Arabidopsis thaliana: one gene and its partners. The main gene of each other region encodes a partner of the protein of the gene in region 2 in a complex. Each region holds a gene or a part of one and is shown on either strand. Other genes may lie near its edges.

Evidence for each region. The genes of interacting proteins can lie anywhere in the genome.
Region 1: MED8 (region 2) and RFR1 share a complex: the UniProt entries of both Arabidopsis thaliana proteins name them as parts of the mediator complex.
Region 3: MED8 (region 2) and AT5G03500 share a complex: the UniProt entries of both Arabidopsis thaliana proteins name them as parts of the mediator complex.

Annotation. Positions count from the first base shown.
Region 1 is NC_003074.8:8,465,742-8,473,434, reverse strand, and holds the start of RFR1 (REF4-related 1), read right to left. Parts: upstream 6,038-7,693; 5' UTR 5,798-6,037; coding exon 5,523-5,797; intron 5,350-5,522; coding exon 5,239-5,349; intron 5,064-5,238; coding exon 4,719-5,063; intron 4,554-4,718; coding exon 4,234-4,553; intron 4,136-4,233; coding exon 4,044-4,135; intron 3,748-4,043; coding exon 3,435-3,747; intron 3,288-3,434; coding exon 3,077-3,287; intron 2,766-3,076; coding exon 2,651-2,765; intron 2,558-2,650; coding exon 2,396-2,557; intron 2,309-2,395; coding exon 1,651-2,308; intron 1,463-1,650; coding exon 1,256-1,462; intron 1,087-1,255; coding exon 1-1,086. UniProt on the Arabidopsis thaliana protein: Component of the Mediator complex, a coactivator involved in the regulated transcription of nearly all RNA polymerase II-dependent genes.
Region 2 is NC_003071.7:903,952-909,789, forward strand, and holds MED8 (mediator subunit 8), read left to right. Parts: upstream 1-1,561; 5' UTR 1,562-1,873; intron 1,874-1,999; 5' UTR 2,000-2,026; coding exon 2,027-2,205; intron 2,206-2,295; coding exon 2,296-2,420; intron 2,421-2,514; coding exon 2,515-2,639; intron 2,640-2,707; coding exon 2,708-2,891; intron 2,892-2,996; coding exon 2,997-3,080; intron 3,081-3,201; coding exon 3,202-3,257; intron 3,258-3,347; coding exon 3,348-3,617; intron 3,618-3,705; coding exon 3,706-3,762; intron 3,763-4,079; coding exon 4,080-4,286; intron 4,287-4,373; coding exon 4,374-4,424; intron 4,425-4,521; coding exon 4,522-4,585; intron 4,586-4,668; coding exon 4,669-4,841; 3' UTR 4,842-5,321; downstream 5,322-5,838. UniProt on the Arabidopsis thaliana protein: Component of the Mediator complex, a coactivator involved in the regulated transcription of nearly all RNA polymerase II-dependent genes.
Region 3 is NC_003076.8:875,903-880,361, reverse strand, and holds AT5G03500 (Mediator complex, subunit Med7), read left to right. Parts: upstream 1-1,986; 5' UTR 1,987-2,588; coding exon 2,589-2,612; exon of another isoform or gene 2,613-2,695; coding exon 2,696-2,836; intron 2,837-2,918; coding exon 2,919-2,988; intron 2,989-3,161; coding exon 3,162-3,328; intron 3,329-3,417; coding exon 3,418-3,491; intron 3,492-3,628; coding exon 3,629-3,689; 3' UTR 3,690-3,922; downstream 3,923-4,459. Other genes in the region: AT5G03510 (C2H2-type zinc finger family protein), read right to left, coding at 1-9. UniProt on the Arabidopsis thaliana protein: Component of the Mediator complex, a coactivator involved in the regulated transcription of nearly all RNA polymerase II-dependent genes.

The DNA of each region.
Region 1 (7,693 bases), on a different chromosome or scaffold from region 2:
AATCCATTGTTTTGAGACCTCCCAAGGAGAGTAATACAATCGCTAGCTCGTCTTTTCCCCATTTTCTTAGTCCATTGCTTAGACTCTTTAACACTTCTGTATCGATCTCTGTCACCCAGAGCGGCAAACAGCTCACCATTAGACTCACCAAACCGGAAATATATGTTCGCCAAGTTGCTGTTTCACATCCCACTGATATTTTCCCATCTAAGGCACTCGCGATGAACTCCAAGTGGCTTCCCAAGATTGCTTGGCGGCGGCGTTTGGATGCAGATGATCTTGAATCCACGCCCCAAGTAAGTGCTCCACATAGGACCACAAAGTAGGCAAGGGCATGACCTCTTAGCTCTGCAACTAGATCCGATGGTCCTTGTTCTCGGTCTGATTTGTCAGTTGATAGAAACCAAGATGGGATCGTTTCTTTGATGAGAACGTGGACCACACCTAAGCCACCGGTTAGCCATACCAACGAGGCACTCAGCGAAGCAGCAAGCTTCACTTGAGTCATTGCTGTTGCTAGAGAACTTTGGCCGTATCTTGATCCGTTCTTCACTGTCTTCAGCTTTTCCAGCTTCTCCTTTGAGAGCCTGTTCTGGGCTATATCCTCCACCGAATGTATCAGCAGAGAGAGAATCTCTTCCGATACGGAGACAGTATCTCTGAGAGCACGATACATACGGAGATAAAGAATCCCTGGTGCTACAGGAGAGATCCCTCCATAGAAATGAGAGCCGAATCCATGGCCAAGAAGAGCTCCAACGCCACCATCATTTGACATGGGGGCAGCATTCAAACCCAGAGTGGCACTGAAGCAGTTTCTGAGGAGCTGAATCACAGCGTCTTGGTTGTGAAGGAAGACGGTGCGAGAGGCAGAGAAAACAAGGAAGTCAAACCAACGTTTCGCCTTTTGGGTCCATAATGAAGCTACAATGGGCATGCAAGGCCAAGGGCAGCCTGCAGCCAAGCACTCCAGAGCTGGGCCAGCCAGGTTGAGAAACCGCTCTGAGGCTTTGTCAATTTTGTAAGTAATGGTTAGACTAACAAATGCGGCTAGAGGTAAAGGAAGCGTTGCCGGAGAACTCCCTCCTGCAATACCACAGCAAGAAGTCAACCATAAGTTCAAAAGACAACTTTAACTTTAACACATCAAATCAGGACAGGTAAAAAGCTTATTATAAAGAGAGGATGGTACAGACTACAGAGATGGTAAGCCAAACAAACAGACTGGCATTTTAAACACGTTGAATAGTTTTACCTGGAGCAAGGCTAGGGATATCGACGCCTGTTGTTGCAAGAATTTTCGTTATATATTCCTCAACAGTGGATAGATTTGTAGCTGGACTTGGCCAATCCACGCCGTTCATGAATACTGGCTTCCAAACACCTCTACTCACCTCAGCTGAGAAATAGCTTACTATCGTTGCTAATGATGCCGGGAGAAAATCTGCTAAGTCTTTCAGCCCTGAAAGAAAAACACTTGTTATTCTGTAAATAAATTCACTTTACTGTAAGAAATGCATCTGATATAACAACTGATCAACACAGTCAAACATCTCTCATTGGCATTCAGAGTTGCCAAAGGTCATATAGACGGATGTTATCGCACATGACAACACAATTAGGAATCTGATCCAGCAAAACAAAACAAACCTGTAGCTAACTGACGAGGCGAAAGCCTTCCATGAGTACAAGCGGTTAAAGCAGCATCGACAACATATGGAACGGCTTTGAGGATATCCCAAGCAGGAAACTCAGGTCTAATATTGCTATCTTCACTTGCAGCTCCTGATGAACTGCTTGTGCCCGAATTTACTGGATTTAAAGTCTGACTGCCTCTGACCTTTCCGAACGTCATGTTGAGAAGTGCTTCAACTGTCTGATGAACGGGAGATCCATGTGTAAGTCCAGATAATGTGGCTGCTATGCATCTTTGGTGCTGCCTATACCAGACTTTCAGCTTGGGGAACGAGTCCACAAACACGGGCTGGCAAGATGCTGCCCTTGCAACTTCTGAAAGTCTCTTTCTGTTTCGGTCTCTATCAAGGATCTCCGACGAAACAAGATAAGAATTACGCACTGAAAGAAGATGTTCAGGAGTGAGTTGGGAGCCAACTGTGGGAACATCTCCCACACCATGCTCAATAGGAGGATGATTGAATCTCCATAGCTTTAAAAGAAGAGTGAATGCATTTGAGAAAACAGAATATGCTGATATTGCTTCTCCAGAAGGAAGAGTCCATGATACACTCGGGGTGTAAGATCCAAACTCTTCACAAATTGGCATTAGTGAGCAAGCAAGTTGCGGAACCTAAAAAGTAGCCATCAAAATCGTACATTACATCTTTCAGCAAATTCACTATTAAGTCTAGTAAACTTGGAAGTACAATTTACATACCATGCCATGTAAAGAGAAAATTTGAATGCTGTCAACAGATCCTATCCCAACAATAACAACATTCAACATGCAGGCATAACCAATCAAATGATTTTCAGCCCTGGAATAATCTGCTGGAACGGGTGGGGATAGTAATCTTGTAAGATATTCAACAGTGTGTTCCTGTACATCGAAGAAAGATAGATAAATCAAACATGTCTGTTCAACCGAAAATTCTCACTGGTGGAGATTCTGATTAGTGGATTTAATGCCAACCTGTATGTTCCAACCCCGTGTGAGAGATGCCCCGCAAAGAACTGTAGCAGCAGATATCTTCTCGTCATCCGATCCTTTGACTGCAACCTCAAATAGTTTCTCGAGCTCTGCTAAGCTTCCATCAAATCCATGAGGTATTTCAGTTGCTTTACTCTCGGTAAATTAAAAAAAGAGCATTACCTGGCTAAGAAACAAAAAGGAATAACTGAAGAAGAAGCAGAACTTAAGTCAAACTAGAATGCAACCACTATTCTCATTGTGGCAATGGTTTCCTTAGGTTACGACTTTGAAACTCCGTAGCTTAATTTTGTATAGTAATTTTAAATTACCACTGACTGTATGATTTGGAGGGAAGACTATGTGGATGAAGTAGTGTGGAGCTAATAGAGCAAAAAGAAACAAAAAGAAGATAATAACTCATTCTACCTTGAAGCAGGAACTGAAACTAATGTATTCACCATTGCGGCATTTAGTGGAGCCCCTTTCACAAATGATGACCAGCAGGGTACTTCATTCGGCAGACTCTGAGGTATTTGGTTGATTCGGCCATTAACATAGCCAGGCCACGAATAAGCCGACATATCCAGTATGTTTCTTGCAATACAAGCCTCGACTATCAGGTGGCGCATGTTTCCAGCTACGGCATGTACATAAAGTATGTTAGGCACGAAAGAGGCCCATAAAATCAACAAATGAAGACAATCAAGCGACAATAATGAAGAATACGAAGACAAACAAATTGGTTTAACTTCAATTCAATAGAGCGAAATTTTATTAAACTTACAGCAGTTGACAGGCATGTCCTTCATGTTTATGACATCAAAACATGACTTTCCAACATTGCCACCAGACAAAAACAAGATTGCCTTTGTGGCAGCCTTGTTGGCAGCAGAAACAACGCATTTGGGAGGAGCCAGCAATCCAGGGAAATCACCGAGGACCTGCAAACTTGTAACAAGGTCATCTCGCAGCTTTTCCATGACAGATTCGTATTTCCCCTCTTCAATAAGGTTTGCGACCACAAGAGGCACAATACATAATGACATGCACAGCCTTGTGTCCAGTCGAGGAATAGGTCCCTCAATAGGATCCCTTTCCTAGTAATAAAGAAAAACGAGAAAATCAGAACAGCCATTAGATACGGAAAATCTAAACTTATCATGGATGACAGAGTAACAATCAAATAGTACAGCTTCAGTCAAGAGAAAGTGTGTAAGAAAGTCCTCTGAAACTGCAGGTAACAAAAGTCTTGGGAATTATAACCAAATAACAGAACCAATTACAAAAGCACACGGTGTAAGTAAAACTTGCAAGCAATAGCAATTGCACTTTTCTGGGTACCAAAGTAGTGGTGAAATCACAAACAGAAAGATCAGTAAGAGAGTAATCTAACCCTTTGAACAAGTCGGAGAGCTGCTATCCAAAGCCCCAAGAAAGTGTCATGCCAAGTGCTCCCATTAATTTCTTTAAGTGTTTTAGCTAGACCTGAAAATTTAATACTCCCAAGTCATTTCGTTATATATTTGAGATATCTTTTCTTTGGTCAAAGCCACAAGTGAAAGAAGATGGAGTCTACAAATTACCGGTAATGATTTCAATCGCACTAGTTGGGTTTACTTGATATCCATCCATTGCATCTTCAAATACTAGATCAAGAGGAAGCCAAAGTGAAGAGAGACTTGCTCCATGGCATAAGCCAGCATAGGAAGAGAGAGATCCAAAATCCACAATTGCATTGGATTTCCGTGCTGAAGTTACTTTGCTATCATAAGAATACCCAAATCGTCTATTCGAAATCAATTGTAATAGATCCCCAGAATTTAGAACCTTTGAGTGTTTTAAAGCCGATGAATTTTCTCCAAGAAGCTGCACTTTCTGGACAAATTCATGCCACTTCGAAGCCCTGAAAAGAAATGGATAGCAAATGGATTAAAAGAAAAACACTTTACTACAGAGACATTACTTGTCAAATTCAGGTCATGATTAAGCAAAATATCTGCCAATGCAAAGAACAACATAACTATGATGCCACTGAAAAAACTTTACTCTCGTTAACTATGATGCATACCTGTTGGAAGATACCAAGTATAGCAATCTCGCAATCACTGTATTTCTGAGGAATTCCGCTATCAACTCAATAGCCATGATGGTATTCAAACTCTGTAACTTCTCTAGTGATCCAGTCTTTTCATTATATCTCTCAGGAGCATCAATTTCCATATCTTGAGACTTAACTAGCCACTGGGAGCTCGAGTCTTGGCTTAGCTCTAGCAAACCTTCATCACTTAACGCTGCATCTAGCAATTGTGACACCATCTTAAAAACAAACTCTACTAAAAGCACACCAGGTTTGCTTGTGTCCAGATCAAATAACTCTGAAAGACGAAGAATATTGGATACTGAAATCATGACCCTGTACAAAGAAGAAGGAAGATAAATACCAAGTAAGCCAAAACAGTATTTTGTATTCTCTAATTCTACTTCTGAGTACAATGTTAATGGAAACATACATTTACTAACATTTTTCCTACAGAGCCAAGCATTTGAATGAAACAGTAAGTAAGAAGTATCAACAAAAAAAAACTCACTTCTGGTAGTGAGGTCCACTAATATGATCTTTAATGGTGAACATATTTCTCTTGAGCAGCTCCAAGTAAATTCTATAAGCTGCTTGTTGCGTAGACCGGGTTGGAACAACTCTGCAACAATCAGAAAACATAGAACTACAATAAGATAAAACCAAATCTAAGATCCATCACAAAATCGTAGAGATTTTCCAAACTATAATTCACCAACTCACAATCCAAATTACGAAATAAATCATCAACACATAGAACCCTAAGGAAACAATCCATGAGCGATGAATCCAGACCTGTCAGCGAGAAGAGCAAGAACAACGAGAGGAGAAACAAGCTTCAAAGCCATAGCTCTTTCAAGAAACTTCCAAACAATAGGAACGTTATTATCCCAACAAATGTACGAAACAATAACCTCCGCAAGCTCCGTCGACGGTAACTCCACGGCGAAGAATTTCAAATTCGATGATAACTGAGAAGCCCAAAGACGAGGATCGACACAGTTCTCTTGAGCCATCTTTGTCAGCTCAATCACACAATCCCAGACGGTTCTCCGTCCAGGAACCACCATTTTTTCCGTTCAATCAACGAAGCTCTCTGAAGAAGAAGAAGAGCGGTTAAAAGATACAGGAACTCTTCAGATTTGATTTGGCGAAAAAAAAATAAACGCGTGTGCGTTTGTGTGTGCGTTTGCAAATGGCTGAATAGTCCTCGTGAGAGAGATGATTCAGTGCGTGTGAATTGTCCCGAGACGAAATATGAGAAAGACGTCAAAAGAGTTCACATTTCACAAATCTCTCCACTGTTTATGTCAACTTGTGTGTTATATTTCTTGAATTTATAAACAATTTTGGATTTTTTTTTATTTGAATTGAAATTTTTTAATTGATTTTAAAGTTAAAAGTACAAATTTCTTCTGATGGGTTCTACAAAATTTAGTTTATAATATATATATATATATATATATATATATATATATATATATATAGTTAATATGCATCTTTGTCAATAAAAGGCGTAAAGTAGATTTTTTAAATTAATCGGGAAAATTAAAAATTGGACAAATCTCCTAAATTTCCATTAAATTTCAACTTTTTTTTTTTTTTGTTATCCACTAAAAATTTTGCGAGTGACGAAAATGGTTAAAATCGTTGTGAGAAAATTCGAACTCTGCATAAAAAGACATTCATAAGAAATCTTTTAACTAGTGGACCATTACCATTTGGTTCTAAAAATGTATGTTAAGTGTTAACATAATTGTTGTAGACATTTTAAATGGCAAAATTATCTTACTTTCTTTTGTATTTCAAAAGTAATTTAAATTCAAAATAACTCCAGTTATTAAGAAAGAATCAAGGTGTATATATTTATTTTATGAATAATTGAAGTGAAAATTAAAAGTTATTGACCGGTGGGAGTTTATATTTTTTTTTTCTTTGAAAATCAATTTTGTTTTAAACAATAATAAGTTTAGATAGATGGTGGCAAGGGTGAGTTACAAAGCCATGATTTCGAAGTATGACTTTTGGAGGCAATTTTGCATGAAAGAGTAATGCAAGAAGAGCTTTTAGGTAATAATGCAAGATAATACCATTTTAGTCAAATTTTCCAGCTTTAGTCATGAGTCTAATTGATTAACATTACCATTTCTTGCCAGAAAAAAAAAAAAAAAAACATTACCACGTTCTATGGATCTTCTTATTTTCAACGCAGGGAGTAATCAGAAATTCTATACTGATAAAGATGGGTTAACAATATTTCTTCCAAGTTTTGTAATTTTTTGCATCCAATTTTAAATAAATAAATACAAATAACTTTCTTAAAAAAACTATCATTTTTAATAAATGAAAACTTAGAGAGAAAGAAGAGTTAAATTGGTAAATCGTAAAAATAATTTCTTTTTTTATGTAAAAATATATCCGTAAAAATTTAGCTAGTCATTTACGGACTGAACAGTTAAAAATATTTTATCCAACATCGTTGTAAATGGATGTAACAATAAGTAAAACATAAAATAATAACATAGAAAGAAAAAAATGTAGTGAAAATGCTCTAGAAGAAAAACCATGTTAAGTCTATAACCTAAATACAATTAAGAAATTAAATGCTAGTAATCTAGTTTTCCATGATATTAATATTGGACTGCACATAGTTGACAATTATAAGATTCATGTGGCGATTTATGAATTCTGATGGGATATTTGTCAAAGCTATATATTATGAAATTAAAGAGTTCGATAATTGGTCAAAGTGAAGTTGGTATCAAAGACATTTTTTTACTTTATCTGGAATCAGTAGCTTAGCTACACTTGAATACTGTATTAAATATTGGTCGTCCGAATAACAACAACAACGCATGGGGGAAAAAGTCAAAAAACTAGTTTAACATATTTTTGGTGAACAAAAAAAATAAAACAAGACATATTTTGGCTACAATCCGAAATTTCTTGGTAAAAAAGTACTTTAT
Region 2 (5,838 bases):
AGTAACGCCATGACAGCCAAAAGATGAGAAACTCTCTCTTCCTTCCCTTCCCACAAACTCTAGCCTCTGTATCTATTCTTTTTCATTCTTTCAATGTAAAACAAACAAACAAAACAATGTTTACTACATTTTTGTTTTTGTTTTTGTCTTCAAAGTACTCTTGTTTATTAAGTGATTTATACAAAAGTTTACAAGTTATGTAGGATGAACTAAGGAAGCTTATGTTTATGGGTTAGAGAGACTACATTGGATGATTCTTCTAGGATTTTGAATCACCAAGAACCATCAACAAAGCCAACAGTATCTTTCACACAAGTTACTAATATCTTCTTAAATAGTTTTACTTTGTAAGAACCATTTCCTTGAGTGGGTTTACAATGGGACGGACTAACTTGCGTACAAAGACCGTTTTTTATTCACTATTCATAATTTTGGTCCGCAGTTTAGTAAATAGGAAAAAATATAAAAACTCTAGGGGAATTGGAAAACTAACCAAAAAAAAATATAATTAAGAAACTAGCATAAAAAAAAAAGCAATGATATCCTCTATATTTTATATATTAATTCCAAGTTTACCCCCTCTATCTCTTTCCGTCTACCTCTCTCTTCCCTTCTCTCTCCCCTCTATCTTTTTCTCTCTCTCTCTTTCTCTCTCTTTCTTTTTTTCTCCCCCTCTCTCTTTCTCCTCCCAATAAAGTTCCTACACCTACCTCGTTACTTGTTTTTTATTTCAAATTAGAGTCTCTTAATTACTTTAGGGTGATATTTGATTTGGGGGTTTCGAATTACAGAGCGAGGAACACAAGTTAGGTTCAGGGAATTGACTTTCGTTGTTGCACTTGATGATGAAATAGGGTTCCGTTGTTGCGCTTGGTGTATTGGTGATGAAATTGAGTTCCGTTGTTGCATTTTGAGAGATACTATTCTATTTTGTAAATAGTATACTATTTACGTATACCTTGTTCTATATACGTTTTAAAATGAATTGTTTGTTTTGATTAAAGATGTTAAGTGATTTCATTAATGTTTTAGATTTAAACCCTTGGGTTCCCTATATATTATCCCTTTAGGGTTTAGTATACTTCCATCAAAAAATATTGTCAATTTATATAGAACGTTATGTTATTCATTGACAACACTATTCACATCTAAATTATTTTGTGTCTATTTTCAAAAATTTAAGTCATGATATTTGTAGAAAACTATACAACTTTTTAATAGATATATCATGAACTTGAATTAAATTTTTTAAGATCAGATAATATGAGTTACAATTGAAAAGGAGTAAAGAAAAAAGAAAGAGAAAAGAGAATTTCTCTCCTACCACCTATTTCTCTTCTCACCTCAACACCAATAATAAAGTCACGTCAGCTCACACTAATCATTCTCCTTCTTCGCTGACGAAGCGTAACACCAGGACAGTGATGTCTTTTTACTCTCCTTGAAGGTTATTTACTACATTTACAAATTTATGGTGTTAGTTGGTTAATTATTTAGTAAAAAAGTGTTATATCTACAAATCACGCAAAACTCTATTACGGACCAACAAATAGTTTATTTGAAAGCAAAAAAACAAAACTTGGTCCGTAACGGATTATTGTCCGTCTTAGAAATATAATGGTCTACTCCGCAAACAGATTTGTCCGTCTTAGCGACATATTGGTCTAGTCTGCAAACGGATTTATCCGCTCTGTCTATTTGTTGCAACCTTGTAAGTTTTCAAAGAGGAAACACATATATATGTTATGGATTCGGTATGTTATTATATTTCCCGGTTCTATTTCTCAAACACACTCTCTCGTCTTCTCCAATAACTAACTTCTCCAAATCAAAGCCTTCTTCGAGATTTTGCGCATTCCTCGTTTTCTAATTCGTAAGTTTCTCTTTTGTGTGTGTTTCTAATCGAAACTTTTGTGTCAATTTCAAATCGGAAACCTAATTAATTTGTTCAATTCGCTGTGATGTTAAAAACCCCTAATTACGTTAAATTTGGAATTAGGGTTTGTGTATTAGCTCTGTGTTATCAATGGAGACACAGCCGCAGCAACCACCTCCTCCTCCGGTAGCTGAGAAGCTGAATCCAAAACTGGAGAAGGAACTGAATCTGGAGTCGTTGAAGACACGAGCCGTTAGCTTGGCCAAAGCCATTGCTCGAATCCTTGAAGATTTCGACGCTTATGGTCGAACCAACACTACTCCTAAATGGTTCATCATCATCGAATCCAGAATTTGATAATATTTTGATGTTTATGAATTTTTTGTAACAAGGATTGATTTTCTTTTTGTTTTGAACAGGCAGGATATTCTAGGGCAGTATTCGATGGTAAATCTCGAGCTTTTTAACATTGTGGAAGAAGTAAAGAGAGTTTCAAATGCGTTTGTTGTGCTTCCTAAGAACGTCAATGCTATGAACGCTGCAAGTATGGTCTTTTTTTAGTTGTTTTAGTTGATGAGTTAAATGAATTGTGAATGTGATGAACTGGTTTAGCTTAGCATTTATCAGTGAATCTGCAGTTTTACCGGTTATGTTGTCTTCGAAATTACTACCGGAGATGGAAACTGATGACAATGCCAAGAGAGAGCAGTTGCTTCAAGGTGTTCAGAGTTTGCCTATACCAATGCAAATCGAAAGGCTTAAGGTTAGTTTTGTAATGTATTTTTGTTGTGATTTGTTTGCTGGTTTTTGAAATGGTATCTGTTATTACAGGCGAGGATGGATATGATTGCAGCAGCTTGTGAAAATGCAGAAAGAGTATTAGCTGATACTCGTAAAGCTTACGGATTTGGCACTCGTCAAGGCCCGTCTATGCTTCCTACTATGGATAAAGGTCAAGCTGCAAAGATTCAGGAGCAGGAGAAAATGCTACGAGATGCTGTAAATGACGGTAAAGGTAAGAGGGTTTTAGAATTTATTGAGTCATTTGATAGTGTACGAAACTGCAGTTTTCTGTTTTGCTGAATTCCTTCTCATGTTCTTTTACAATGGTTGTTTCTAGGAACACAACTGCCTCCAGACCAGAGACAGATAACCACTGCACTTCCACCACATCTGGCAGATGTGCTAATTATCAATGATGCAGGTAACGATTTCATTGATCTGTCTGGTAGAAGTAAACCCAATGCTTGAATCTTCTTTATTTTGTTACTACTACCAATGGTATTCTCACGTTGTTAATGGCTCCAAAAATTCTCTTTCATTAGGTAAGATTGCATTACCTGGGCAATCAAACAACATTAACAATCAAGGAATGATGCAGGTTAAACTAGTTTATTCTCTCTAGTTGTGATGATTATTACTTTTGTTAGTATCATTGTCTTTCGAGGTTCATGTCTTTGTGTGTTTTTAGGTTTCCGGGACTCAATTTGTGGGAAGATCAGCTGCATCTCCATCTGGTCCTAATTTTGATAACACAACATCTCCCTTACCATATTCCAATTCTCCTCGCGCTACGGGTATGGTTAATGTGCCTTCGCCTCAGCATCAAATCCAGCAACAACAGTTTCAACAGCAGCAGCAAAGGTCAAAATTAATGCAGTTGCCTCAACATCAGCAGCAGCAACTACTTGCACAACAACAACAACAGCTCAGGCAATCTTCTATGCAGGGATTGGGTCAAGTAGGCTTTGACATTTTGCAGACGTAGCAATTGACTGTTTTTTCCTACCATACTGCTTTATTGAGCAACATGCTAATTCTTTGTGTAGAGTCAGATACCAGCACTTCATGATATGCATGGGCAAGCTCAGCAAAAGTTTCAGACGGTAAGATAAATAGAACTACAACATAGTTAGGGGATAGATGTGTGAAGTGAAAAGGATCAGACACTACCTTGGTCAATTATTTGTATCATTATGCAGTAGTTATGGCCATAAATGAAGATGACTAGACGTATTTATACAAGTTTACATATACCAAGTGAATGATTCATACTCTTGAAAAGTTATCCTAGATCTTGGGACTTGGCAGAAGCTTTTATATAAAAGTAACTGTGACAGTTCGTAGTTTCAAACAGTAGAATCAAATGAAATTATGAAACAAGCTTTTGTCTTTTAAGTGTGAGTTTTATCTTATTTTTCAGTCACATGGGCAACATCAAATGCCATATTCCCAGCCAATGGGCGCGCACCAACAATTCCAAGCTAGACAGCTCTCAGGTGGACATATTCAGCATAGCATGTCTCAAGGACAGCTCAATCCAGCGATGAACCGTCACTTAAACCAGTTTTCAGGTGGAGCCAATAGTGCATTGTTTACTTCTGCACAAGGCTCCCCAAGTAGCCAAATGGTCAGTCACCTCTCTTTAACCTCTTGAATTGATGATTCGAAACAATTACTAATCATATTTTCTACGTACTTTTTCTTTTAATTCTAGATACCAAACATGTCATCTATGCAATCTCAGACACTTGTTCCTAGGATGCAGGTTAGCTCAAAAACTCCTCTACTCATTATGTTTCCCAAATCTGAACGATGAACATTGTCTTAATCTGATGATCTCTTTGGATTTTTATGGTTGTCAGCAATTTGGAGTTTCGGGTACCAATCCCCAAAGAAGCCATTCGTCTCAAATGTTGGGTGACCAGAGTAAGTAAACAAATCTCTTCTAAAACATGTTTTCTTACATCAAAATCGATTCCCTGACTATTTCATTTGTCCTATCTTTACAGTGTTTAACACCAGCGGAATGATGCAAACACAGCAAACACAAATTCAGCAATCGCAACAGCAGCAGCAGCAGCAACAACAAGGAGGCTATGGAAATATGCAGACGAATCAGCAGAGTCTACAGCCTAATAACATGATGCAGAATGCTCAACAAAGGCACCAAAATCCTCAATAACCCCTTTTAAATAATTTGGGCTTGTAATGGGCCGATGCCTGTATTTTGTAGTACCAAAGGCCTGGCCCATTCTTTAACATTAATACACTCACCAGATTTCTCTAGTTGTATGGTACTTTCACACTACACTAGTACACTTTGTTTACTTGTATCATTGTATGAGGTTAAAAACGTGAAGCAGAGATTGGACGGTGGAGGATTGTTTTCGTTCTGACATGTTTATTGAGAATTCGACACGTGGCATCGACGTGAACATCTCGACGCCGTTGATGGGGTTATAGAGACAAAACGAAGACGCGTTTCTGTTGTACACGGGACTCGAGAGAGCGACGTGTCTATGAAGTTTACCTGTTTTCTGAACTTTAAACAGAGAGCTTTAAAACTGCGACTCGAAAGCTATTAAATTTTCTGACAATTTGTTTTGTTTCTTGTCAACTTAATTTTATATACTCATTTTTTATGTACTTATTTAGCTCAACGACTCGTTTAGTTACCTCAATCAAATTTTGAAATTTAGTTACCATTTCTTTTAAATTTTTTGTTTGCTTTTGTTACAAATATGAAAAACTAGTTTACTTTGGTTTTTAGGAATTTGCGAAAAAATCACTCAAAATCGCTTATTTTTACAATTTATTGTGCACATTCAAAAAATGCAAAATAAATTTATAAAATTTAAAATAATACACAATATAATTTATTTGTGCGATTTTGCATATGTTATAAACGTTTTCACTATAACATATATTTGTATTCAAAAGTTTTAAAGATATAATTGAACTCATCATCTCAAAGGCTTTGATTTGATATATTATTTTCTTTAATATAAATATTCAATGCATAATTTTCTTTAAATTAATTTTATATAAAATAAATATTTTACTATATATTATATGAAATAAATGCTTTATTATAGGGAAAAAACCCAAAACAAACCTCAACTTGTTATGAATAAAGATGGATGCTCATTATAACGCCCATCATCTAAACTCATCATCTA
Region 3 (4,459 bases), on a different chromosome or scaffold from region 2:
ACTTGTCATGATCCTCCGTTTTTTATTTGCTCTCTGTATTTCAAGAACACAAGAGGTCGTATATGTATATATGGAGAGAAGTATCAAAGAGTGTTTGGTGGGTTTGGTTTATATGTCTAAGTATTTATATATATTTGTATGTGATTGTATTTGTTTATACACACAATAGTATTGTGTGTATATATAATGTAATGGGTAAGAGAAAAGATGAGAAAAGAAGCAAACCCAAAATAACTTTTGGTGAAGGATTCCTTTCTGGAAGTTTTGGTTTGCAAGCCTGGAACCACTTGTTGTTCTCTTCTTGTTTTTATTTTTTTCCTTTCAATTTTTTTTAAATGATTTTCTCTTTTTTTGGTTAACTTTTGTTTTGCTTGTCTTATGAATCACATAAAAAAAAATACTAGTATTTTACTTATTAAATACTCATAAGCATCCTTATAATTTCAAAAGACACACATCATTATAGCTAAAGTAACAAAAATGTGGATTCAATGTCAACACTAATCTTAGAAGATGTTATTTTATTTTCTTTCTGAAAATGAAATTAAATCTGTGTTTTCTGTTCAAGAAGGTGTCATTCTACATATACCATTTTTTCTTATTAATAAAATGAACTACAATTTTGACACTTGGAATGTAATGTATTATATTAAGAAGAATCAAACTGGATTGCGTATTCTAAATATGCCACTCAATTTATTGATTTTTTTTCCTTTGATTTCACATTATCACTAACTAAAATCCTAAAACTTTATAAATAATTTTATATTGATGGCTTGAGTCATCCACAAGTAGTTTCAACACGAAACACAGTACCACAACACACACAATTCAAGCATATTATAAATTCCTGCAAACTTATTACGTTTTGTAACAAATTACATTAAAGATTTGAAACCAACTATTATATATAAAAGCTACTAAAGTACAAATTTAACTTGAAAATACGTCGAATTCTGTTTTTGTTTCTTAATACTACTAATCATTGCGGATATATGTACACTTAAGTTGCTGATTAAATAATTAAGTTAATTAATTGGAAAGTAAAAGGCAATCGAATTTTGGGGTCGAGCAGTTCATGTGCAGTTGAGCCAACCCACAATTACACAACACACAATTATGAATCATGATTCTAGTTATGTATACAATATTTAGTTATAATGATATTAGCTAAAACGAATTAAATATATAATATCACTCCCTATGTTTGCGCCTCTTTCTAAGAAACTTTGATTTTTATTTTGGTTATCCAATTATTTGATCAAACCATTATTAATCTTGTGATTAGCTAATAATATGTATTCGATGAAGTAACCTCCCTTATCGTAGTTTGTAACTGTAGTCTAGGTCTTTGTAGTATAGTATACTAATAAACTCGGTGACAGCAATTTATAAAATTCAAGAAACACATGTTTTTTTAATATTCATTCTACATAATGAGTTTCTTAGAGCTGGATTGATATCCAACTTTTACTCATTCAACTCTATACACATTAGTTGTCTTTGGCTCTCAATGATTATCTTTTGCTAACGTGTTACTATACATACAATAGATCATTAAGAAGAATATTTTTGAGTGTATTGTGAAGCTAGTATCATCACAATTTTAAAATGAATAAATCAGGAGGAATTGATTTAAGTCTTGGCGTCGAGGATTGTGTGTGTGAAAGAGAGATAGAGAATTGCTTGGCCGCCAAAAGAAGCCATTACTTGCCAACTAGCTAGCTTCACTACTCAACCTAAGCAAAGCATATACTTTATAAATAAATAAATAAAATCATAAACATAATTAGTCGTCACCCATCATACATTCATCATCACCATCCTAACAAAACCTTTTTTACAAGGCTTCTCAAAAACCGTTAAGTAGTTGTTGCAACTTGCAAGGATCACCTAAACAAATTATACCGAAACTTGCACAATTGAATTCCAATATTTTAAAAACATTTTTCTTTTGTCATTTGAAGCATATAAAATGGTTCTGAATTCTGATATAGGTGGGTGGAACAGAGTCTTCCCCCATATAGCAAATCCCTCAACGGCTCTAGAAATACGTTTTAAGCTTCACGAGGAATAAGAAGATTAGGAATATATGGGCTTAAAGCAGGCCTGAACTAAATTAAAGGCCCAACTAAAAGAGAGGAAACAAATCTCGATTTGCTTTCTCTGGTGAGCGTGTCTTCTTCCGATCGTCTTCTCCGGCTGCGTGAATTCTCCGCCGAGCCATCTCTCTGGCGAATCTCCAGTGAGTTCTATTATTTTCACTCTGTCTTTTATGCTTCCCGTGAAAGGGATTTTTTTATTTCTCTCCCTCAGATTCTCCTTGTCGCCACCAACTCATTCGTCTCCCTACCCATTTGTGGCCACTGGATTTTTTGTATTGACCTTTCTTTTTTCCTCATGAATCAATTGAAATCTACTGTTAAGCATTTGACGATTTTGGACAAATTGGTGGTGATTTAGGAATAACACGGTTGTGGTGGTGGCGGCTACTTCAACGTGACGATGACAGATTAGTTTCTAGTGATGACAGATTAGTTTCTAGTGGTCGCAGAGTTATTTGGTAGTGATGACATAGTTGTATTCTAATGAGAACAGATTGTTTTATGGCGGTAGACGGATTTGTTTTTGATTAGAAACCCTAATTTTAGGAATCTGTTACTGATTTTGCTTAGTTTTTGATTTGGATATGTAGAGAATAATGGCTACAGCTACATATCCACCTCCTCCTCCATATTACAGACTCTACAAGGATTTCTCAGAAAACACTGATTCTGCTCCTGAACCTCCTCCTCCGATTGAAGGCACCTACGTCTGTTTTGGAGGCAACTATACTGTGAGTCTCCTCCACATTTCCCCCTCTTTAAAATCTTCATCTTTATGTGTTTTTAGCAATTTTCAATTTTTTTGGTTAGTAGACTGAAGATGTTCTTCCAAGCTTAGAAGAACAAGGAGTGCCTCAACTTTATCCAAAAGATTCTAATCTTGGTATGTCATTCTCCTAACTCTGTGAAATCAAACTCAAAATGCAATTGCTATTGGCTGTCTAGAGTATGGTTTTTGGTTCTTCCCTTCATTGGAATCAAACTTATTACATGAGTTCATTTGCAAGTTATGTTCTTTGAAAGTACCTCTTTGAGTTCAAATATCTTTGTGTGTAGATTACAAGAAGGAACTCAGGTCACTGAATAGAGAACTACAGTTACATATATTGGAGCTTGCTGATGTTCTTGTTGACAGACCTTCTCAATATGCGAAGAGAATTGGTGAAATTTCTTCAATCTTCAAGAACTTGCATCACCTTCTCAATTCCTTGAGGCCTCACCAAGTAAAGAAGCTCTCATCTTTCGATTAATTACAACATGGTTTCAACACTTTTTGTTTTTTCATCGTTTTGATCTTTCTCTTGTTGTATAGGCGAGAGCAACGCTTATTCACATTATGGAACTTCAAATTCAACAGAGGAAACAAGCTGTGGAAGACATTAAGAGGTTTGTATATGCTACTTAAGTTTTCTGTCTTTATGGTGTGTTAATAATTTAATATCAATCTATCATCTGTTTAAAGATTCTTCAGAAGCTTTGTTGGTTGTTCTTATGGGTCCGTTTGATGTTTTGGTTGTGTGCAGGAGGAGAGAAGAAGCACAAGGACTTCTTAAGGATGCTTTCGTCACTTTAGATGGTCAATAAAGTATACTTTTTGTTAATCCCATTTTGTGTAAATTAGCGCTAATAACCTATGCCCTCGAAACTTTTTTTAATTGATCCTGTGTGTGTGAGAGAGAGAGACAGACGTGTGCAATCTCATGATTCAACAAGTAAAGCCTATATCATCTTTATTCAATGTTACCCGTGAACCGGCATTTAGTTCCGCCGGTTAGTGCGGTTCAACATTTATTATTACAATTTCGGCTTAACGGGAACTATTATAACCATAACGGATTCATAAGAAGATTAGACCAATATGGGCTTAACGCAGGGCTAAACTAAATTGAAGACCCGACAGTTTGTTCGTAACTACACGTAAGTATCTGAACAACAACAACAGCTTTATAAGGGAATCAACAAAAAATAGTTGAACAAAAAAAAATTAACCTTGTTCAAAGCTAAATCCTGTCAAATATCTTTGGAACCCTAGCAGTCGGTCTTGTCAATTTATCATCAGCATGGACGAATCCGCCATCAAAGTAATCTTCTTCTCCTTATGGACTCTCCTCTTACTCACTCTATTTCTCTTCACAAGAGGATGGAGATGAAGATTAAGATGGATATGGACAGGAGAAAGAGGATGGAGATGGAGAATTAGGAGGGAGATGGAGAATTAGGAGGAGACGAACCTCTTTGTTTTTTTATAATGTATTTACCTTTGTTTGTTTTTGTCTTTGCATGTTAAAAGTAAGTAAGCTCAGTAATCATCACCTGCCTTGATCATGTATGATATGTCATTCTCTGGATGTTAG